2 linked regions of the Macaca fascicularis genome follow. The protein of the gene in region 1 interacts with the protein of each later gene in a pairwise test. Links are inferred from orthologs where the notes say so. Each region holds a gene or a part of one and is shown in the gene's direction. Other genes may lie near its edges. The genes, in order: ATF2 and ATF3.

Region 1 (12,736 bases):
TCTTTGAATAAATTTTGCTTCTAAGAGAAGTTACTATTTATTCCTAATTAGATGGGAGGAAAGTCTTTGAAGAAGAACCTCTAGTTTTTACATCTCACATATAAAATATGTCTGGGATCAAAGTAATGCTTAAGATGACCCTTAAGGACATTTTGAAAATTCAGAAACATAGAAACTCTCCTGATTCTTTGGACCTCCGTACTAAGAAAATAGAGGCCTCAATAGTATTCTTAAAGAAGTAAGGAAACATCTGAAAAATTCTTTTACAAGTCAGATAGTTTTACATGTTACATTTGTTTTTCAACTCAACTCTGCAAGGAAGTTATTATTCCAAGTTTTATAGGTAAAGAAATTGAGACTCAAAGATCAATGTTAAGTTCAAAGTCACAGATAGTTTGAGGTGGAGTTAGGTGCTGAACCTAAAGTGTATTCTCAGCTGTATAAGACCATAGTACATTGCATGTTCTAATCAGTGAAAGCACCAAGATACTACATAAGTGGTAATTGTTATAATTCATGAAGAAGTAGTCTGTCAGAAAAGAGGGAGAAAACATGACTGATCCTGGCTTAGCAGTTGCAGTTAACAGGTTTGGCACTCTCAATCCTTATGATTGTCTTTTGAATCATTAAGCCACAAAGCTTCAGACTCTCTTTCTTGATCTTTCCCTGTGTTTTCTGGTAGCACCAAGGATAAAGTATGCAGCATGGTGCCATGGAAATATTTTGAACTTGAAATTGAAGAGATCTAGGTTTATATCCAGAATTTGAACTAGCTTAACAGCTCTGCATCCTTGAGCAAATGATACCTAGTTTCCTAAAGTGTAAAATGGGGATACTATACAATTAAAAACTCATTAAAAAACTACAGATAATATAGATAATACAGATAATAGATAACACAGATAATACACAGGTGAATCTCAACTGCATTGTGCTAAGGGAAAGAAGCCAGATTCAAAAGGCCATACAATGTATGTTTCCATTTATATGATCTTCTGGAAGAGACAGAACTCTTGGGATCAGAAAATAGATCAGTGGTTTCCAGGGCCAGGGAGGAGAGTATGACAGGAAAGAGCATGAGGATTTTGTTATGGTAAAACTGTTATGTATCCTGATTGTAGGGTAGGTTGCATGAGTGTATTTGTTTGTTAAAATTCAATAGAGGCCGGGCGCGGTGGCTCACTCCTGTTATCCCAGAACTTTAGAAGGCGGAGGAGGGTGGATCACCTGAGGTCAGGAGTTGCAGACCAGCCTGGCCAACATGAAAACCCCGTCTCTACTAAAAATACAAAAGTCAGCCGGGCGTGGTAGCATGGGCCTGTAATCCCAGCTCCTCAGGAGGCTGAGGCAGGAGAATTGCTTGAACCATGGAGGTGGAGGTTGCAGTTAGCTGAGATCATGCCACTGCCCTCCAGCCTGGGTGCAGGAAGAGACTCCCTCTCAAAAAAAAAAAAAATTAATGGGATTGTACACTAAACAGAGTTAACTTGCTATGCGTAACTTATATCTCAAGAAAACTTTTCTTTTTACAAATTGACTTTATTTTAAAAATCACACCCAGAATATACAGTGATTCGCAAGAGAGAGAAAAAATGTCCAGTAACATTTGTTCATGCATAATTACTGCCTCAGTTAAAATTCTGGTGATCTTTTCATATATGCTTCAGATTTTATGGGATCTGGATCACATAGTAAGAAGATAGGCCTAGATGAAAAGAAAGAAATTACAAGTCTTGAAATAGTTATAAAAATTTCTGAATTTTTCTTAGTTGAAGTGAATGGAAATACTTGTACTAGTATTATTTGGGGATCTTTTTCAAAAGCTCTTCTCTCACTCACCCCTTTCTGCTATACTCAGGGAAGGAAGAAAGGAAAAGATTGCCAAGAATATGTGTTCTTAACACTTAACACCCCAGACAGTTATTTACTTCTGAGAAGTTTGGGAAACACTGGGTAGGCTGCAACATAGTTCTCACGTCTCTGTCTCTCTCTTTTGTCTCTAACTCGCACTCGCTCTCACTCTCTTATTAGCCTCCATCCCCCTCAAAGATGCACCTTTATAAGAATCGTAGGAAAGTGTAGTATATATAACTCTGACTCCAATTTCTATAATAATGTATATTTGGGGCCCAAGAACTACATCTTAGTTATTAAGAACAGTATCAGCAATAATAGTCTCAGGTCTGTGGGATCCCCGAAGTCCCTTTCATTGCTAAGGTACTGTGGTATGATTTATCTTTGCAAATTATTTCATATTTACAGATCGTAACAATAAAACCACCTTAAAGATCACATATGACCATTTTCACTAAAGAAATCAATTTCTATCAGTTAACAAGTGTTTATTTTATACCTATGTATCAAATAATTATACCATTTGCTAAAAGGAATACCCAAAAGTATAAGATAATCTCTGCTCTTAAAGAGCTTACTAACTGGTTGGGAGATAAAATAGTCATATATGACAAATTTTTATTGATAGCATAATAAGCTTCACTGAAATTGTATCTTGAGAAAGTGGTAGACATAAATATCTGGGGCCTCATTCTAATACTAGATCTATCATGCTCTGAATGTGAGTCCAATACAATCCAATAATTAACTGGCAAACTGCAACATCAAAAGAGAACTAGATCTGCTTACTGGGGACAGGAAAAACCTAAGAGAGAGAAACTCAGCTGTAGGTTCTAGGAGGAGGCTCAGTTTGTCCCCATTTGATCTCTGTTTGCAGATTTGGTGCCAGTGCTTACTTGGCCAATGACACGATGTTACATTTTTAAGGCCTTTATTATTATTTTCTCAAAATTCACTAGAAACAGCAAAATACATAATCCTCTAGTAGTACTAGGCAAAAAGACTCAAGGAAACTACCTAAGATCTCACTGTTTGTCTTACCGATATTCATGATGATCTTTAAGGACTTAAAAAAAAATTTTAATGGTGTTTGCATTTCAGAGATTAAAAGCTGCTTTGACCCAGCAACATCCTCCAGTTACCAATGGTGATACTGTCAAAGGTCATGGTAGTGGATTGGTTAGGACTCAGTCAGAGGAATCTCGACCACAGTCATTACAACAGCCAGCCACATCCACTACAGAGACTCCGGTATGTGTGTTGTTTTTATTATTCAGCACTCTGTCATCTTTAAACAGACAAGTACAGTATAACTTATGACTTATTTAAAAAATATTATTCTGGTCATGTTGTTATTCCAAAGGGGTATCAAAAGCCTTAGGAAAAGGTAGCTCAGTGTACAAGAATTGATACAAAAATAAACATAATAGAGCGGTTGTTCTGTTTAGGACACCTGTAACTATTTCTGTGGGTGTCCATATATGTTGGTCTGACGTGGCACGATTCTTTTTAAAGAAAATATCTTTTTCTGTTGATTTTAGGACAGTGAAACTAAATACTGCTTTGAGAAATTTCCTTTACTCTCTGTTTCCTGATTGAGGAAGTTTATAGAGTTATGACTTTGGAAAATAGTTATATAACTAGAAAAATAATATTAGAACCTTATAGTGAGAAGAATGAAATTGTATCTTGTTTTCTTATTGTCCAAAACTACAAATTTGACATAAACCATAACTAATAACACTAGATATTTTTTCTTGCTGTGGCATAAACAGGTTTGATTTGACCTATTCTCCTATGTAACCAAGGTATTGAGGTTATAGGAAAATTTAATAGGTTAAGTTCTGTAAATTTTATAGACAATAACTTCTTTGTTAAGGGATGCTGTGTTCTTCAGAAATGTATATAACTAAATCTTATGTTCTTTTTCAAGTAGCAAAACTAAGATTTCTAAAGAATCTTTTTGGATCTCGTCTTAAAAAATTATTGATTTTGCTTTTTCCTAAAATGCCATATGTTTGTGATTACAATGCATATCATATTTTAGTATTGTGTTGCCATGTACAACCATTAAAGTGTGTATGTCCCAAAGAGGCAGATGTTTTTTTCTGTTTCCGATACTAGCAGAACAAATAATTCTTGTTTCTGCTTTTAATATTTGCTCACTCATTGTAAAACATTACTCTTTGTTATTTATTTGTATAAGTAACCTTATCTCACTTGTAGGTAATCAGAAGTCTTTTAGAGAAATATGTAGATAAATATTCACACACATACACACATATGTAGGTATTACATTACTAACATAAATCAAATGGTTGCTGAATTAAAACTTGTGAAACATCACCAAAGGAGCAAATACGCTTTATGGCAGCTGTTTATACTGGAGACCCCTTTCACTTACCTCTAGTCTGTGACTGCCTGTGAGATGATTGATATTGTTATATGCCTGCAGTGCCTTTCTAATTCTTTCTAGTAAAGGATTATTGTACTCCTGTTAAGTGTTTCAGAATTCTATTTAGACCTTTTATCTTTACTTGAAGAATATTAGCATTGGCATTAAAAAGCAAAAGTTTTCAATCAAAGAAACACACATAAACAAGTTTTAGATTGCCACCTAAGCATAAGTATTTACATAACTGCATCTTGTCTTTTAAAAACTTAACATAATGAAATGTAGTTGTGGTTGTCATCCACTAAACAGCTTAGGGACCAAAAGGGAAAATGAGAGGCTGAGTGATTGTGTATGTGTGTTAATGTTATACCTCAGGGTTTAACAATGTTTCACAGGCCATATGCAACCCATGGGTGTTTTTTTGTGGTCTGCAAGTTAAGTATGACTTTTTACATTTTTAAAGGGTTATTTTTAAAAAATGAATATAATTTATTTTTATTGTCCTTTCTTGTACTAACTATAGTTTTCCTGGATCTAATTTTTATTTGTATATTTATATGTTGTTGTATTGGATGGAAGCCCCATGAGGGCAGGACTTTATCTGTTTGTTCACTGCTATACTTAGTTTCTAGAATAGTTCCTATAAGTATTTTCTGAATGAAATGGAATGAATTAATCAATAGACATGGGACGAGAAGGAGCAGTATACACTTCTAAGAAGCCTCCAATCCTTGATAGGCATAAAGATATACAACTATAACTCTGAGTAGCAGAAATTAAGCTTCTGCTATTCTTCTAGTACTTATGATTAGTCTTTGCTGTAATGAGTTAAATCAATTAAAACCAAAAATAAACTGTTCTCTCTTATTCAGCCAGCTGAGTAAAAGAAAAAACCTACTATTCTCAGTAAGAAAAATAGGAGGATGTGGCTCACGCCTACAATCTCAGCACTTTGGGAGCCCTAGGTGGGTGGATCACCTGAGGTCAGGAGTTTGAGACCAGCCTGGCCAACCTGGTGAAACACCATCTCTACTAAAAATACAAAAGTTAAGCTGGGTGTGATGGCGGGCGCCTGTAATCTGAGCTACTTGGGAGGCTGAGGCAGGAGAATCACTTGAACCCGGGAGACAGAAGTTGCAGTGAGCCAAGATCACGTCATTGCACTCCAGCCTCGGCCACAGAGCGAGACTCTGTCTCAAAAAAAAAAAAAGGAAAATAGGAGAATGAAGAAAAAATTTCAATATTGCAAATCTTGAAGCCAACCATAGAAATATTTTTCTAAAACATTAAGTTACAATTACGTAGGTAAAAGAAACACTCTAATTTAAATGCTTAATCTTTATTACAATTAAAATACTACTTTTTTGAGACGGGATCTTCCTCTGTTGCCCATGCTGGAGTGCAGTGGCACAGTCATGGCTCACTGCAGCCTCGACTTCCCAGGCTCAAGCAGTCCTCTCCCACCTCAGCCTCCTGAGTAACTAGGACCACAAGCACATGCCGCCACACTTGGCTAATTTTTTAAATTATTTGTAGAGATGAGGTTTTGCTATGTTGCCCAGGTGTGAAATACTTTATAAATGAAATAACTCTCTCTGTAATGCTAGTTGTTTGGACAAAGAAATGATAACTTTATTTTTTGGAATTTTTTAGAGTGAAAAATAGTTTGGTAATTTACCTGCAGAATTTAACTTGAGCCTTATGTAAGATTTGTATTACATAGATTAGGAGAAAACAAATTTTCTTTGTGCATACCATTTTTAAATATAATAAATCATAGGTAAAAGATTGTTTTCAGGCTTCTCCTTTGGATTATGTGCCTATAGCCACAAAGTGTTCTTTTCTCTGCACCATTTCCAAGAGCTCATTTTCTTCTTTCTTTTTTTTTTGTATTTTTTGATGCTGAGTCTTGCTGTATTGCCCAGGCTGGCATGCAGTGGTGTTAATCTTGGCTTACTGCAACCTCTGCCTCCCGGGTTCAAGCGATTCTTGTGCCTCAGCCTCCCGAGTAGCTGGGATTACAGGCATGCACCACCACGCCCAGCTAAATTTTTTGTATTTTTAGTAGAGACAGGTTTTCACCATGTTGTCCTGGCTGGTCTTGAACTCCTGACCTCAGGTGATCCGCCCTCCTTGGCCTCCCAAAGTTCTGGAATTACAGGCATGAGCTACCACGCCCAGCCAAGAGTTCATTTTTTGACACCCATATTCATTTGTTCTGTGGCACAGTTTTGGGGTTCATGAAAGGCTTGAAGGTACCCATTGTTTTATAGTCTTAAACACTAGACAGTATTACTAGTGACTGAAGGTCTCCTTTTTTCTCTGGCTAATATGAGATAACCAAGCTGATTCACTGGGGAGCAGAGGGAATAATTAAAATGAAAATTAAGGTTCCTGTGGGATTCTCCCTATCAGAAAAATGAGCATTAATAAATACAAGAACTTGACCCTTAGAAAAAGACTGACCGTAAATTTCACGAACTGAAGAAAATCGGAATATACCAAAGAATATACATATTTTCACTTCATAACTTTAGAGAAACCAATTTTCTTTAAGAAAATTGACATTTAATATGAGATATTTTAACTTAAAAATAGCATAGAAATCTTGGTTTTCTATCATGAATTTAAATAGGAAGTTATTAAACATTTTGAGAAATTTATAATCAGCAGTTTTCCAGGGATTGAATAATACAATAAAATCTGTTAAAATACACTTGGAAAAATATTTCTATATATCATTTGTATCATATTTTAAATTTTTTCATATTTGTATGTAAATGAAAATATTATATATAAAGAATACATTTGCTGTGACATTGCATTAGTGAGAATTGTGTTATAGATAGCTCCTAACATAAGTATATTCAAGAAAGACGTTAAACCACATTTTCATATTGTCCCAACATACTGATGTATTCAACAAAACTTAGAAAATAAAATTGCTGTCCCCCTTTGACACCGTTTACTGCCTATGTTAATTCACTCACTAGATACAAATATAACAAGCTTTCATCTCTGTTTATAATAGGCTTCTCCAGCTCACACAACTCCACAGACCCAAAGTACAAGTGGTCGTCGGAGAAGAGCAGCTAACGAAGATCCTGATGAAAAAAGGAGAAAGTTTTTAGAGCGAAATAGAGCAGCTGCTTCAAGATGCCGACAAAAAAGGAAAGTCTGGGTTCAGTCTTTAGAGAAGAAAGCAGAAGACTTGAGTTCATTAAATGGTCAGCTGCAGGTAAGGTGCATATATGTGAATTTTGTTTTATTTCTTTTTTAATAATTGTGAACATAGCTTTTTTTTTTTTTTTTTCTAGTTGGGCCTCCATACATTTTAGGACATAATATTGGGTGTGTATGGAATCTATAGTAAATCATAGTTTTGTAAACCTGTTTGTTTGGATGCTGAGATTAAATAATATAAAGCTTTCAACACTGATACAATGAAGAAATTTAAAATATGTTTACCTGCGTACAGAAGTAGCTAAACTATCTGGTTTGAACTTTATAAAGTTGTGATATAAAGTGCAGAGAATTTTAAAATTTAAAAATATCACTGTTATTTCACTTTTCTTGTCTATTTTTTTGGTTTATAGCACAACTATAAAGTTGCTTCAGTAGCAGTTTTTGAATTCTTTCATTCTTTGAATTATAAATTTTGTTCTGTTTTGTTTTATTTAAAGTGAATATATTGCTCGTGAAAGGTGCCAGATTGACAGCTTTGGAAACTGAAGGACTCTAATTATCCACAGACCAGGTACACTATGGCCAGTGGCAGTACAGATCATTTCATACTGCCCTGCCAATGTGCCTCAGATACATTTCTTAAAACCTCATGGAGTATAAAGTTTTAAGGCAGCACCAAATCTGTTTCCTTTGTTTTTCTTCCTTCCTTTTGTTTTTGTTGTGTTTTTTCAACGTAAATATTCTCCCATATAATCTTAAACTACCAATTGATAAGTATCAACTAGAAAACTGATGTTAATAAATTGCACTTGTTATTAATCTAGCTAAATCTTCTGAATTATCCATACTCAGTTAAAAATGAATCTTTCTGTATAATCATAATTGATGGTAAGAGACCTGCTGTCTTCTTAAATCTGTCTTTAAGATATCACCAATATAATTGTCTGTTTAAATGGTTAGGAAACAGTTTTTAGCTAAATCAGACATAGCATTTAACCAAATGTAAGTTTTATAATTTAAATTTTTTTAATGCGAAGCAGACATCTTTCAAGTCTTTATTGTGCTTTGAATATTGACATGATAGAACAAATAGATTGTCTTGCAGAACTTATTTTTAATGATTTTAATGATTTAGAAGAAATTTTTAATACAATGTACCACATCACATAGACTTAAAATTTGTACTTATCTTCTAGGATTTATTAAGACATATATTTTATTATTTATCATCTGATAAATTGTTTTTTGTTTTTGAAACGGAGTCTCTCTCTGTCACCTGGGCTGAAGTGCAGTGGTGCAATCTTGGCTCACTGCAACCTGCAGCTCCCGGGTGCAAGTGATTCTCCTGCCTTAGCCTCCCAAGTAGCTGGGATTACAAGTGCACACCACCACGCCCGGCTAATTTTTAGTAGCGATGGGGTTTCACCATGTTGGCTAGGCTGGTCTTGAACACCTGACCTCAGGTGATCCACCCGCCTTCAGCCTCCCAAATTGCTGGGATTATAGGCTTGAGCCTCTGTTCCTGGCCCATCATCTGATAAATTTTTAATCAAGAACAAGTTTCAGAAATTTTTAGAAAACATTTCTAAATTTTCTTTTTTTTTAAATAATATAGACTGTAGGTGCTAATTTATGCTGCAAAAATGGCTATTTTATATCAACTCTGTTATATTTATTATTAAATTTTCAGATATTATTACATTAATGAAGTGATTTAGGTGTATTTTTTTCCGTTCTTGACTAACAAAATCTTCTGAATGACCTGCTCTCTTTTAGTTGTATGACATAAAACACAATCACTGTTACCTTCAGTTGTCTTACCTATATAATAGATGTGGTAATACCTGATGGTCTTACTTCTCTGTATTGTTACATAAATCAGTCAATTCAAGGGTTTCTTCCTACAGAAAAACTAGTAAGACAGATTTACCGTTATTTTCCTTTGTAATTTGGCTTATTGTGCCTTATTTAAGAAGTAAAAGCACCTGAAAACTATGAAGTAGTACATACATATATGTTATTATTTACAGGAATTTTAAGCTAGGCAAGTTTTCTGCTTTGAACCATTTTAGAGCAATCTTAATAGTTTTTAATGAGATATTGCTGTTCCTTAGTTATACTGCAGCACTGGTTACCACTATTAGCCCTTTATTATTGTAGAAAACCATGGAAAATTCAGTATTCAAAAGAAATATAATCTTGACCCCATTTATTTCATGTTTTTTCTATCACAATCTATGATTAAAATGTCATTATTTTAGCAGTGCTTTGTATATACTTCCTAATTTGGGTAGAAGTTTTTTGATTGGAGAAATAAAGATAAGATTTATCGGGCCGGGCGCGGTGGCTCAAGCCTGTAATCCCAGCACTTTGGGAGGCCGAGACGGGCGGATCACGAGGTCAGGAGATCGAGACCATCCTGGCTAACCCAGTGAAACCCCGTCTCTACTAAAAATACAAAAAACTAGCCGGGCGAGGTGGCGGGCGCCTGTAATCCCAGCTACTCGGGAGGCTGAGGCAGGAGAATGGCGTAAACCCGGGAGGCGGAGCTTGCAGTGAGCTGAGATCCGGCCACTGCATTCCAGCCTGGGCGACAGAGCGAGACTCCGTCTCAAAAAAATAAATAAATAAATAAATAAATAAATAAATAAATAAATAAAGATTTATCATTAGGTAGAAGTTTGCTGACATCATTTTTTGAAGCATGAGACTATTAAATGGAAGCTAAATTTAGGAAATCACTAAATTAAGCTCTACATTTGAACTTGAGTTTAATATCTCAAATTATGTACAGAACAAGTAAAACCAGTATTTTTAATCGTTAAAAACTGGGTGATGATGGCATCGTCTTAGATTTAGAAATGCATTTTAAAATAGGAGCCAAAATGATATATTATCGAGGATTTTATTTAAAATGCTTCTCCAAAAAAAAAAAAAGTATTATATCCATCTATTTATGTTAACCTGGGAAAATATCTATAGTATATATATTTGTATGGGCAAAAAGAAAGTTGTTGGAAACAGCCCAAATATCCATCCAAGCTGAATGGATAAACAAGTTATGGTTTATAAGTACAATGAAATATTATTCCGCCATAAAAAGGAATGAAGTATATACTATGGTGTAGATGAACCTCAAAACATTATGTTAAGTGAAAGAATACAGAACAAAACATCAGATGTTGTATGATTCCATTTATGTGAAATACCCAGAATAAATAAATCCATAGAGAGAGAAGGCATATTAATGGGGGAGGGAGAATAGGGAGAAACTGCTTAGCGAGTAAGGGGTTTTACCTTGGAGCGATGGAAATGTTTTGTTACTAGACAGAGGGTGGTAGTTGTACAACATTGTGAATGTACTAATGCCAGTTTAAACTGATTACCTTTATGTTATATGAATTTCACCTCAGTAAATTACCAAAAAAGGTCAGTTGCATCTTAATTAAGCATTATTATTATGCTTAATAAAGCATAATCCTTTCTTATTAATAAAAAGGTTTACAGTTAGATGGGTAAATGCATAGGTATAGGAACTGGTATAAAAATGACTCCCTAAGTATAGTTAGCATTTTAGGAATGACATGTACCAACGTGCAAACAATGGTGAGGAGGGAATTGAGAGTGTGGATGGTTTAGAAAGAAAGGGTACTTCAACTATGACTTTCTGTTATTGTTTCAAGTCGATATATTATTTTGACTTTTTGTTGTTTTCTACTTATTTGTCAAGTAAAGTAAGTTTTTTAAATGTGACAGATTTTAGCTTTCAGAGTGTGAAGAGTTAACATGCCTATAATAGATTCAGGGAGAAAAATTTCCTTCAGTCTGCCAACAGCAAAACCATTAACTGTGAAGAACAGAATGACTTGTAAGGAAAATTGAACGTCAAAGAAATAATTATACCCTACTTTATGTGAAAACTTTAATCAATTCTGTATTTTCTTGATGATCCTTCATGTGACATGCAAGCTTAGCTGATCAGTGTAGTGGGCAGTAATGACCCATAGTTTACTTATAAGTTTTATATGTGATACAAGGTTTAGCAAGTGTTGAGGTATGATTGTTCATATTTTTACCAAATACATATTAGGTCTTAAAGAAAATATATTCAGCCTTATTGCCGCATTCACTAAATTTAGTATTGTTTTAGTTTTCCCAAATCATTGCTAAAAGAGCAATTTCATCAAATTATATTAGAGACATTTATGGTAATCTAGACCAAAAATTGAATACTGTTGGTTATAAATTATTGGGGGGTTTTTTGTTTGTTTGTTTGTTTTTGAGACAGAGTTTTGCTCTTGTTCCCCAGGCTAGAGTACAGTGGTGCAATCTCAGCTCACCGCAACCTCCCCCTCCCGGTTTTAAGTGATTCTCCTGCCTCAGCCTCCTGAGTAGCTGGGATTACAGGCGTGCGCCACCACGCCCGACTAATTTTGTATTTTTAGTAGAGACGGGTTTCTCCACATTGGTCAGGCTAGTCTCGAACTCCCAACCTCAGGTGATCTGCCCGCCTCGGCCTCCCAAAGTGCTGGGATCACAGGCATGAGCCACTGCACCCAGCCAATTATTGTATTTTTAAAGTAATATCTGTTTATTAATTTTGTTATCTTTTACTTGAAATGGTTTTTACTGTTTATAAGCTTTGTCTTTCAAGTTATACTCATTGTGGGGGTTAATTTTCAGTTTATAAATGTAGCATGTTTCCTTATGAACAAAAAGCAGATTCCTTTTCTTTACTAACAGTAGCTGCTTAACATTTACTCTGTGGGTACAACTTGATAATTATTTTTGTGTGGATTTGGCTGTTATATTAGGTTGGTGCAAATGGAATCACAGTTTTTGCCATTAAAAGTATGTTTTGCCGTTACTTTTAATGGCAAAAGCCGTGATTCCATTTGCACCAACCTAATAACTTAGATACTGCAAAATGTGTGTGGAGTGGAAGCACGATAAATTAATAAAAGCACACTTTTATAGCTAGAATTTACTCATAAGTTAATGATGTGGAAAAGGTTTTGTTTATTGGTTCATTGACTTATAGAAAATGAGATTAAATCTTTTATTTCTGGTACCAGACAGTATCTTATTTCAGTATTTATCACTTGAAATAGGAAAAAATAGCAATAATTGGAAGATACTTTATAATACCTGTTTGTTATAATTTCTGAATTCTGTGATCTAACTGTCTTCCACTTTTTTCCACTGAGTTCTTAACTATATTCTAGATGAAAGAAAGGGGTATTAGTGTAGCTGCAGTCATCTCATGCATCTTATTCTGAGTTTGAGATCTAATACTTATAT
Region 2 (12,836 bases), on another chromosome or scaffold:
TTGCCCTCTGAGCCTGAAGCAAGTGTCAGGAAGAGTTTTCTATGGCCCTTGACTCTCTAACCCTTCCCTTATGGCGTCTCTGCTGTCTGATGCCTCTGCTGTCAGAGAAAAGCTGTAGTTTAAACATTTATTTTTGAATCCATCAACTTCGGCCAACTAGGCCCATTTATCACTGTTTCAACTGTGTCTAAACTGTCATTAGTGGTGTGACCAGAAACCAGTTAATATCTTTGGGTGGTAAATTCGTGGACTGATCTCCAAACCCTCCTACCATGCTAATATTGCCAATGAAGGTTTCCAGAGGCCAGGATCCTTGGCCAACACATCATTGTAAACAACATGACAGCCTTACAGGGAACTCACAGTTTACTGAGGTTTGCTCTGTGCCAGGTGTTTTCATGAGCCTCCGTCCTCCTGTCGTTTAATCCTCTTCTCTGAGGTAGGTACTGTCCTCCCCATTTTACTGATGAGGATAGAAATCAAGGCACGCAATTAAGCATGTTTCGCTGGGTCACACAGCTAATGAATGGCGAGATGGAAGTCAGTCCCAGGTCATCAGGCTCCAAAGTTCATGGTTTTGGTGATGAAGGTGGGCTGTGAAATGTGTGTCTTATTCTGTGCATGTGAGTCCCCTAGACCCAGCTTTTCCACTTGTAACACAATCTCAGTGCCTTTCAGCAGGTAACCCGCGCCAGACCAGATCTCCAGAGATGGAGGTGGCGGACCTCAGGGCCCAGACACGGGAAGGTGTATGAGGAGGCATCGCATCAAGTGCCCACCCTGTGCTTGCAGAGCCTGACCATGAGCACCGCCTTCAGTTTTGCATCTTAGGCACCCCACTTGGCTCTCCATCCCAGCCCTGCCAGGCCCACCCTTGACTCTGTGTTTCCTTTTTGGAAACTCGAGAGGCCATTCTACTTAAAGAGTCCTCACCTGGCCTACCAGCGACCAGATGTGCCCAAGTGCAGAAGAAACACTTTGTTATCTCCTCTATCATCGTCCCCTCTCAAGCATAAAACAACATAAAGTTTCCCATCGGAACAGCACGATTGTGCCAAAAACAAATTAGAAACAACAACTACTTCGCAAAATTTTGAGCAAAGTGATGGTAACTGTGTCCTGGAAATGAAGCAAAGTGAGTGAGCCACTGTCACTGTTACCGTCTGACAATCACTACTGGTCCTTGGCTAACTATTGCAGCCCCTTCCTCAGGCTACACATGCCAGGTGTACCAGAAGCACCTTCCACCTCCAGCTGACTCCTGGGAGATGTTTAGAGCTGACTCCTCTCCCCACCCGCCCCCAGTCTCCAGCCACCAGCAGGCTCTCTCCTTGGTGTCCCCAGCTCCTGCCCCTCATACTGATAGAAGCATTGCCCACTGCTCTTCCAGTTCTTACAGGTTTCCTAGTGCCTGTGACCAAACACCTTGTGTGTGCTCCTCAGGAGAGAAAAACTGCTGGCAGCCTCAGGTATTGTTGGGGGTGGGGGCATGGGGGTTCTGTGGGGACAGGAACTTCTTCCTCTGTATTCGGGGTGGACACACACACACATGGAAACTTAGAGTGGTATGCTACCTCCAGGCCAACCAGGCAAGCCCCTGTTTTATAACTAAGGTCTAGGTGAGGTGGCCTCCCCGGGTCCTACGGCCTGTTAGGGGTAGAGATTTCTAGTTACTTGACTTCCAGCCTGCTTCTTTTCCATGGATCACACACACACCACTGTTATAAGATGCAGGTAGGACAAAGGGCATGAATGTGCATGGCAAATGGGAACATGTCATATATACGATGGAAGGGAAGACAAATGATATGAAGTAAATATAGACATGAAATCATAGGGAAGAATTGGAGAACACGATTTCTGATAACCACTGGCTATTCCCACTTCCTCTTTCCTTCTGCCTCCCACCTTGTTTGAAGACAGGTGAGCTGTTCCTCCTCAGACCCAGGAATCATTTCCCAGTGGAATGACACAGTGAAGTGGATTGCCATTTTTAAACCTTCAGTAATAAAGATCTTGTTTGTCATTTCAATTTTAATTTTTTATCTTCCAGTCTTTACTCTCCATCATTTCTTTATCCCAGAAGCCCCATTAAATGTCATTAAGAACCATAAATGTAACTGGCCACTAATGTGGAAGGATTGTGATCTCCGGCAAACAGCCCTGGCAAGCAAAAGAACAGGAATCCTGGGTCAGTGTCCAACTGTGCCTGTGACTCATTGTGTGACACAAAGCAAAGCTCCACTTTTGCGGAAGGAGAGCCATGGGGCAGCGAGACACACATGGTCTGCACCCTGACAGAGGTGGAAGGGTTTCCCTGCTTGCTGGAAGCTCGGGGGTCCCTGGTGGAATCCAGTTCCATAGTAACTCCTTAGCAATGGCCATGAGCTCTGCCTCCAATGGAGACACTACCATGGGTTGGGCTGAATTATGGCACTTGCCCTTCATGACATCATTCTCATAGGTTAGGAATGCACCCTGATTATTTCTAACTCCACTTTAATAACTTGTTCTGGATCTGCCCTCCAGGAATTTATTTGAAACTTTCATTCTATTTATATTTCAGCCTGTACAGCCTTTTCAGGCAACAAGTAGATTTACCATTTATGTAAAAACTCTTAAATTCTAAAACACAGGAAGTGCTGCATAATGGTTTGTTATAATAATCATCATCACAATAATTTGATATCTGTATTGTTACACATAACAAATATTATATTACAGTTTGATGATAATTATTCATGCAGATGGCCTCACAGGCTTCATATTTTCAACCACTCACTAGCTTTCTGTTTATCCCCCCACCCATCTCTCCCCAACCCCAATCAAAAAGAATCTCTTGGCTGGGAGCAGTGGCTCATGCCTTTAATCCCAGCACTTTGGGAGGCCGAGGCAGGAGGACTGCTTGAGCTCAGGAGTTTGAGACCAGCTTGGGCAACATAGTGAGACCTCATCTCAATTTTTAAAGATTTTTTTTTTTTTATATGGAGTTTTGCTCTTATTACCCAGGCTGGAGTGCAATGGCATGATCTCAACTCACCACAGCCTCCGCCTCCCGGATTCAAGCTATTCTCATGCGTCAGCCTCCCGAGTAACTGGGATTACAGGCGTGTGCCACCATGCCTGGCTAATGTATTTTTAGTGGAGATGGGATTTCTCCATGTTGGTTAGGCTGGTCTCGAACTCTGGACCTCAGGTGATCCGCCCGCCTTGGCCTCCCAAAGTGCTGGGATTTCAGGTGTGAGCCACCACGCCCAGCCAGAAATTTTTTTAAGTGTCATAGTGAAGATAAGGGGCAGGGGAAGCATTTATTAATGGAATGAGGTGCTGTAATGGGTGCAACTCTGCGCAGAGACTTACCTAAACAGATTCAATGTCCTCTAAGGACTTGTTATCTAAGATGAACATATGGTAGGTGCTTGTCTTAGTCAATTTGGGCTGCTATAACAAAATACCATAGACTGGGTGGTGTAAACAACAGATATTTATTTCTTACAGTTCTGGAGCCTGGGGAATTCAAGATCAAGGTGCTAGCAGATTAGTGTCTGGTGAGGACTGGCTCCCTGGGTTACAGACAGCTGCCTTCTTGCTGTGTCCTCACGTGGCCTTTCCTTGGTGTTGTGCCTGTGAAGAGAGAGAGCTCTCCTATCTTTTCCTCTTCTTCTAAGGGCACTAATTCCATCATGAGGGCACCATCCTCATGACCTAATCTAAACCTAATGATCTCTCAAAGGCTGCACCTCCAAATACCATTAGACTTCGAGTTAGGGCTTCAACATACAATTTTGGAGGAGACACAAACATTCATTCCATTTATTCAGTGCTCAATAAATATTGGATGTATGAATGGATGGAATAAAAAAAGGTAAACCTGTGTGGTAATTGGATAGAAAACACATGGACATACAGTCATGTGCCACATGACGTTTCAGTCAATAATGAACTGCAGATATAACAGTGGTCCCAAAAGATATAATGGGCCAGGAGTGGTGGCTCACACCTGTTATCCCAGCACTTTGGGAGGCCAAAGCGGGCAGCTCACTTGAGGTCAGGAGTTCAAGACCAGCCTGGCCAACATGGTGAAACCCTGTCTCTACTAAAAATACAAATATTAGCTGATCATAGTGGCAGGTGCCTGTAATCTCTGCTACTTTGGAGTCTGAGGCAGGAGAATAGCTTGAACCTGGGAGATGGAGGTTGCAGTGAGCTGAGATTGCACCATTGCCCTCCAGCCTAGGCAACAGAGCGAGACTCTGTATCAAAACAACAACAATAAAAATTAAAAAAAAAAAAAAAGCAAAAAGATATAATGGAGCTCAAATAATCCTGTCATCTAGTGATACAGTTGTCATAACATAGTAGTGAAACGTATTAATGTTATTTTTTTTTGACACAGAGTCTTGCCCTGTCGCCCAGGCTGGAGTGCAATGTCACAATCTCAGCTCACTGTAAACTCCACCTCCCAGATTCGTGATTCTCCTGTCTCAGTCTCCCAAGTAGCTGGGATTACAGATGCCTGCCAACATGCGAAGCTATTTTTTGTATTTTTAGGAGAGATGGGATTTCATGTTGGCCAGGCCAGTCTCGAACTCCTTACCTTGTGATCCGCCCACCTCAGCCTCCCAAAGTGCTGGGATTACAGGTGTGAGCCACTGCACCCAGCCAACCTATTAACTTTTTTATGTTTAGATATGTTTAGATACATAAATACCTAACATTGTGTTACAGTTGCCTACGGTATTCAAAATAGTAACATGCCATACAGGTTTGTAGCTTGGAGCAATAGGTTATACCATATAGCCTAGGTGTGTGGTAGGCTACACTACCTAGGTTTGTGTAAGTACACTCTATGATGTTGGCACAACAATGAAATCACCTAACGATACATTTCTGAGAACATATTCTTGTTGTTAAGTGATGAATGACTGTATATGACATTCTGGAAAAGGCAAAACTATGGAAACTAAAAAGATCAGTGGTTACCAGGGGTTGAGGAGTGGGGATGATGAACAGGTGGAGCACAGAGGGTTTTTGGGGCAGTGAAACTATTCTGTAGGATACAATAATGGTAGATTCTTGTGTTTAAAAATCTGCCCTAACCCATAGAATGTACAACACCAAGAGTGAACCCCAGCGTAAACTATGGATTTCATGTATGAATAATTTGTTAATTAGGTTAATTGATTGTGACAAACGTACCAGCTGGTGGGGGATATTGATAAAGGAAGTGGCTATACAAGTGTGGGAAGAGGAAGTCTGTGGGAAATTGAGTACTTTCCGCTTAATTTTGCTGTCAATCTAAAACTGTTCTACACAATAAAGTTGATGTTTAAGAAAGCCAAGTGAGGTGCTAACACCTTTCTGTAGAGTTCATTCCACTGTAGCGTTACACAGATTTGGGCTGGAATCTGAGCCAAGCCCTGTAACCTGGGGGAAGTTACTTACCCCTCTAATCTTAGTTTCTCTAACTTTACAGAGATTGTAATGCCTTCCTCAGAGTGTTTTGAGAGCTAAATGCAAAACTGTATGTAAAGAATCTAATCCAGCACCTGGATATATAGCATGGTAAATATATACAGGCCTCCTCATTCCTCCCTATGACTGTGATTCTTATCTATTCTGATGGCTACTATTTTCAAAGTCAGGCCAGGGCAAGAAAGCTGTTTTGGGTGAAAGTGTCTTCTACTAGAAAATAATCTGTGCATGAGGGGCCTGTGTGTCCTCATTTGCTCATGTGTGTCCCCAGAGGTGCTGGCTACAGAAGGCCAGACATGCACTGGAGCCCCGGATCAGTGTCAAGCCCCTCACTCAGCTTTCTCCCGTGAAAAGGTCAGGATGATGGAAGGCTGTCATATTTAGATGATGGCTCGCAGGGAAGCCTTGGTGGGTTAGTCACCTATGATATGACATCATATTGCCACTCAATATAGTAACAGCTGTTGGTTGCTTTGGGGGGCAGAGGTGGGGTTAGCTTTAGTTGACCAACCATGCCTTGAGGATAAATTGGATGGGATCAGATGGGAAGATGTGACAAGAAGAGAAATCCTCCTCTATATAGGATGCTCTGCCATTTCCTAAGGATTTTCAGCACCTCGCCCCAAAATGTGAGTCTTGACTTTTTCTCTGGCTTTGGGGCTAAGTGGGAAAAATGTTACAGGAGAAAGGTGTTTGGTCAGGAAGCCTCCAGCTGGGGGAGTACCCATTGTGGCCCTGCTGGGTGGGTGACACCCGGAAGAGGGGTGGGAAAGTGAGCAGTTCGGTGCATATGGCACTCAGTGAAGTGATCTGAGGGATAGGGATCAAAAAGTCCAGGAGTTAGAGTGCTGCAGAAGCTCTAGGTTGGATTAAGGTTTTTACTGACCCCTCTTCAGGTTACATAACACCTGCGGGATGACCTGTGGCATCCCAGTGAGGCAGTGATGTGGTCTCGGTCTCATCCTGGATGAAACCGTGATTTGGGGATACCATTAGTCAGTGCTGTAGTCGATGTAAGGCATTGATTATTCATAATAGGAAGCAATTGGAGTTGGTTAACACCTTCCTTCTAGTGTGTTCTCCTTCTTGACTTTCCTACCTCTTCTGGGGCCCTTGTGTTTTGGGAATAGAATGCTTTGTATCAGCAGTGTAACATGGATAGGTTAACTGGATATAGGCTGGGTATGGGGAGAGCTGGTTCTTCCTGTGCTTAAACGGAATAAGTCCAGAGTGAGGGAGTAAAGATGTTAGAGAGGAAAAGCCCTGGAATGAGGGTCAAGAGATCTTGTTTGGCAGCTAGTTCTGCCAAGTAAAAGCTGTGTGACCTTGGGCAAGTCACTGTTTCTCTTTGGATTTTGGTTATTCCTCTCATCTGTAAAAACGTGTGCACTTGGGGTTCTTCCAGCCCCACTGGTCCTCTTCCATCCTTTAAATGTGGATCTGTGGTTCTGTTGTTGGCAGCCCAGAAAGGGCACAAGTTTGAGTATCTGGCTCTGCCATTTGTTGTGCGACCGTGGACAAAGACACCCCTTCTCTGAAACTCAATTTTCCCATTTATAAAATATGGATTTTTGTGAGACATCAGTGAGGTAAGGAAGCTGAGAGCCTTTTCGGAGGCACGATGTGGATGTAAAGCAACACCCTGAGTTTGGACAGGGCAGGTGGAGTAAGGCAGGCTGAGGGGTGATGTTTGGGGTTACTGGCAGGTTGAACTGTGACCAGGGGCATAGATGGGGTGGAGGTCATGGTCAGCCAGGCCATAGAAACCCCTAGCCCTGTCCTACTCAGTTCTTGTTCCTTCCCCAGCAGCCGAGGGAGGGAAAATAGTTGAGAGGTTATAAATGACGCTGAAAACAGCTCACAGAAGTGGCTGCAAACTGTCTGAGGGGGTCATGCCGCCGGAGCAAAGCGTGTGCTGGGAAGCCATCCAGGGTTTGGGGACCCCTGAAAACTGAGCAACCTCCTGGTTCCTATTGGTGCCCAAGAGGATGCACCGTCTGCACTGCCTGGCATCACTTCCTGGGAAAGTGAAAACTCCTCGTATGGCGACTAATGGATCACGACTGAACAGTGACCAGAGTGACTTGTCTTGAACCGTCTCTGAGGGAAAGTCACAGATTCCCTAGAGAAAATTTCCAAATTCCTGTTTATTCTTCACATAAACAGATTAACCTAGGGGTAGCGATTTTACTTAACTCTTCCTTTCATGTTGCAGGGAAAGTGAAATTGGCCACTTCTTTGAAGCTGTTCTTTGAGCCATAAATATAATTTCTCTTCCCACCCACAGAAAGGGGTTTTCTTTTTCTTTCTTTCCTTCTTTTCTCTTTCTTTCTTTCTTTTTTTTTTTTTTTTGAAGCCCCAGGCTCTGATACGTTCGGAGGTTGGCAGGAGGTGCAGCTGCCGTAGGAGCAGCATGTTGTCCCCCTGCTGACTCATCTGACATTAACATAATTATGTTTCAGGAGTCAAAGTGATTTTCAAACTATGAGTAATGCAGGGTGTTAGAGAGAGTGTTTACACGGCAGTGGGCATTTCAGCACACTCAAGTAACCAGCTGCTGCTAACAGCTGCAATGAGTGAAGGAATAAGAAAATGCTCTCAGGAAAAACAACCCTTCTGTCTCGTGTCTGTTTCTGTGCAAAGGATTCAGATGTCATGAAAGGCAGGTGAACTTAGAGTTCCCTAAGAACCAATTCAGATCTAGCATTGTTATCTGAATGCCTTGATGTCTGATCTTTTTATGGGGAAAAAAATGTCTTTATAGCTTATTTTCCATTTACCCAACTCTAGGGAAAGGTGGATTTAAAGACTTTAGCAAATTATTTATTTTTTATGATGTTACCAGTATTAATAATTATAATAATATTCTAAGGCTGTGCTGCTGCTTCTAAAACAGGAACAAGGACAAAACCCATTTCCCCCAGTTTTAAAGACAGGGGCAGAAGCCCATGGAGAGGGGGACTGGGGAATGTCTTCTTAAAGCTCCTTTGTCTCATTATTATGGGAAAAGTTCTGAGAGACATGGAGTGCAGTGTGCCAAGTATTTAGACCTCAGGAGCGAAAAGCTGGGCTCCAGTCCTGTTCCAGAACTGAATATTGGAATGGGAATGCCTCAATTTCCTCATCTCATAGTGAGAATATTAATAACACTTTCTCTGCCTACATCAGAAAAAGAGCCTTGAACTTTTGTAGGGTAGGGACAGGGTCTGCCCACTACTGTAGCCCCAGTGTCTAACTTAGAGCTGTCACATAGAAGGTGCTCAGTAAGTATTTGCAGAATTAACGAATGAGATAAAAGCTATAAATGCCAGAGCTCTGCTCTTGTGGTTTGCTATTGCATCTAGCAAGGTGTCATTCTCATGGAGAGTGGTCAATAATTTTTTTAATGTGTTAAGAAAAAAATTGTGAACTAATTATACATTCACTTATACATAAGTTATTCATAAACAAATTGGTTATTATTTTGGGGCTACCAAGCTGAATTACACACAAAAGTATTTCTGTTTACTTAAGAATGTCTTTGATGACCAACACAATTTTATTAAGCCTTGTCCCTTGAGTATACATCCTTTGCATGCTCCACATTTGCGCCCTCATGGAAAAAGAAGGAGCCCCGAAGAAAGAGCACACCAAAAACATCGACCTACCCTGAACTAAGAGGCTCAGGTGTGCTTTTGTGAACTACTTGTATTGAGTGATCCCTTCATCCTGGACCCATTAATAATTATTGTTAGGCTTACTTCAAGCAGTAAATCTAAGCCAGTCCATTCACGGCAAATCAATCCAAAATGGCCGTTAAGGAGAGTCAGGATCTGTGGTCCCATCCCAAATATTTGAAGAGGATGCCAGAAAGCAAATTTAGTGTGTCCTCCTGGTGACTGTCATTTGGTATTTCTGTCCTAGGCCAGTTCTCCAATGGGGTAAATGCAGGGTCAGGCATTTCTAATGTCTAAACCTCCACCGCTCTCTTTCTCTCAAAGTTGCATGTCCAATACAGTCGTAATTTCACCTCCCCAACTCCGTCGTTACTGTAGTTCATTAATGTTTGTTGGACCGGCATCCTAATTTGGGTGTGGACGACTATTCCTTAAGGCATCTCAAGTAAAAAGGCTCCTTACTTCTGATCCTGGTTTATTTATTTTAAAAATACTTGTAAACAATTTAATACTAATTTAATAGTGTTTTTAAGTTAGTAGCAGGTTGCTGAAGGATCCAAATGTTTAACATATATTCTAAAATAAACATTGGCTGTTTAGAGCCGTTACAGAATAAACTTATTTGAATTTTTCCCCTAGTACCCTTTTCTTTATTTCTTCTACTCTTTCTTCTTTCCCTCTTTTCCCATCTCTCCCTCCATATTCTTCCTCCCTGCCTTCTTTTCTTTTTATTATCTTGTGTTTCATTTGTTTGTTTGTTGCTTTTGCTAAATGTCTTTCTAAAAAGTATGTCTGGAAGGAGATAAGAGAAACTAATTAAAGAGCCTAGGACGAGGTAGAGAGACTTTTCATCGTATACACTTTCTGACTTTGAATTTTTAATCATGGCAATACTTTTTGCCCAATAAAAAAGTTAACCAGAACAGAGTTGTACATCCTTCTTGCTTTCATTTTTCCACTTTTCTAATGCGAGCCTATTTCCTTCTTACTAGGATGAAAGACAGGAATGGCTTCCAAAGGGAAACGGGGAAAAGAGAAGGGAGACGGTAGACAGAAGCTCAATGCCTGTGTGTCCACAGTGGAGATGCAGGGGAAAGAGCTAGTGTAACAGAACCAATACTTTTTTTTGTTTTTTTTTCTTTTCATTTGAAATGTAAACATCTTCCCACTTCATTCTTTCCACCTCATAAGAATTCTTCTTCTTCTACAACATAATTTTTAATGATTGTACAAGAGTCCCAAGTTAATGTAATATTTTTGTACTGTAGTTTACCTTACTAATACTCTATGTTAAATATTTGGGTAATATCTGATTCATCAATATTGTAAATAGTACTGTAATAAACATTATTGTAGCTAAATCTACGTTCATGGCAATTCTTATTTACTTTAAATATATTTCCTCAAAAAGAATCAACATATTTCTCAAAAATAAATAAACTAAATAATATATGAATCATACAGTCTTTGATATATGTAGCTCTTGATGTAATTTTAATTTCTATAAACACAAAGAAATTTTTTCCATGTTTGTTAACTAGTTTATTTTCTGTTTATGAATCTTCTGTTCAGAGCCTTTGCCTGTACATCTGTTGGAATCTTAATATCTGCAGTGATTTAAAATGTTTTATACATATATAAGATATATCAACAAAGACCTCCCTATTATTTTTTTTGAATAATAATAATTCCCTGGCTTGACATTTACATTTGAATGGAAGTTATATTTATATATTTTTGGCACAGAGAGATTTTAAGATTTAAAGTAATCGAATCTGTCAATTTTTTTTTCTGGAGAATGACTTTTTCTCATATAGAACTTTAAAAACTATTTCATATTTTCTTCTAATAGAAAACAGCCTTTTAAAGATAAAATTTCCATATTTTATGTAATTACAGGGAAATGCATAAATCTTAAATAGATCATTCAGTGAGTTTTGACAAATGACAGATGCATATGCTTTTCAAGATATAGAACTTAAAGGGTATGACTTTTTCAGGTGATGGTTGCACATATCTATGAGGATACGAAAAAACAATGAATTGTACCCTTTAAATAAGTGTGTTATGTAAATCATATCTACAGACCTTTTTAAAAAATAAAAATTACCATCATCCTGGAAAGCTTCCTCGTGTTCTCTCCCAGCCTGTCCTCACTCCCATACTACCTATATAGGCAACCACAAATTTTAGTTTTTTCGTGATTAGTTTGGTCTGTTTTTGACCTTTATGTGGAATGGAGTCACACAGCATGAACTCTTTTGCATAAGGTTTCTTTGACAGCGTAATGTTCTTGAAATTCATCTGTGTTGGTAAGCTTCAGGAATTTGTGTCTTTTTGTTACTAAAAGTAAGCTTTCATTATAGTATGTCTATATGACAGTTTGTTTATTCATTCCTCTATTGATAGACACCAGGCTGTCCCCAGTTTGGTCCCATTATGAATAATGAAACTGTGAACATTCTTGTAAAAGTCCTTTTATAGACATATGCTTTCATTTTTCTTAAATACCTATGGATGGAATTTCTGGCCATAGGATAGATGTATACTTCATTTTATAAGAAACCACCAGCCTTTTCTCCAAAGGAGTTATACCATTTTACACTCCCACAAGCAATGCATGAGAATTCAGTTGCTCCAAAGTTTTGTCAACATTTGGTGTTGTCAGACATTTTTATTTTAGCCATTCTGTTAGGTGTGCAGTAGTAGCTTATTGTAATTTAAATTTGCATTCCCTTGATAAAGTTATTGAACACTTTTTCATGTGCTTCTGATTTTTCTTTATTTTATTTTAATGTGTATGTATTTTACATCTAACTATGTCTATCCATCAAAAGTTATTTTGATTATGATTTGAGGTAAATCTCTAGATTAATTTTTTTCTAAATAATCAGTTAACCCAGAACAATGTATTGAATAATACTTTTATTGTTATTATATATATTTTTTTGAGATGGGAATCTCACTCTGTTGCCCAGGTTGGAGTGCAGTGGTGCAATCTCGACTTACTGCAACCTCTGCCTCCCAGGTTCAAGCAATTCTCCTGCTTCAGCCTCCTGAGTAGCTGGGATTACAGGCTCCCACCACCATGCCTGGCTAGTTTTTGTATTTTTTAGTAGAGATGAGGTTTCACCATTTTGGCCATTTTCATCTGGTCTTGAACTCCTGACCTCAGTTGATTCCCCTGCCTTGACCTCCCAAAGTGCTGGGATTACAGGTGTGCGCCACCGCGCCTGGCCAATACTTTTATTCTCTGCTAATTTGTGATGCTTTATTTACCATAGAGTTCTCATATGTACTGTGATCTCAGAATATCTCTTCTATGTCTTGATATGTACATTTTTACACTTGTTCTTTTGTCAGTTCCATACTCTTATTTATATTTGCTTTTAAAAATGATTTAAGAGCTGGCAAGGCCCCTGTCTCATCATTCCTTTTCATGTTCAACATTTTCTTTGCTGCTGGGCGTGGTGGTTCATGTCTGTAATCCCAGCACTTTGGGAGGCTGAGGCAGGCTGATCACCTGAGGTTGGGAGTTGGAGACCAGCTTGACCAAGATGGAGAAACCCCCATCTCTACTAAAAATATAAAATTAGCTGGGTGTAGTTGTGCATGCTTGTAATCCCAGCTACTCAGGAGGCTGAGGCAGAAGAATGGCTTGAACCCCGGAGGCGGAGGTTGCGGTGAGCCGAGATTGCACCATTG

Evidence for each region.
Region 2: the proteins of ATF2 (region 1) and ATF3 interact in binary tests that used the Homo sapiens proteins (3 or more experiments, as listed by UniProt). The link is inferred for Macaca fascicularis from reciprocal best matches to the Homo sapiens genes ATF2 and ATF3.

What each region holds. Positions count from the first base shown.
Region 1 is NC_088386.1:70,650,965-70,663,700, reverse strand, and holds part of ATF2 (cyclic AMP-dependent transcription factor ATF-2), read left to right. Parts: intron 1-2,955; coding exon 2,956-3,105; intron 3,106-7,280; coding exon 7,281-7,487; intron 7,488-7,932; exon of another isoform or gene 7,933-8,006; intron 8,007-12,736. UniProt on the Homo sapiens protein: Transcriptional activator which regulates the transcription of various genes, including those involved in anti-apoptosis, cell growth, and DNA damage response.
Region 2 is NC_088375.1:70,365,248-70,378,083, forward strand, and holds the start of ATF3 (cyclic AMP-dependent transcription factor ATF-3), read left to right. Parts: upstream 1-6,027; 5' UTR 6,028-6,104; intron 6,105-12,836.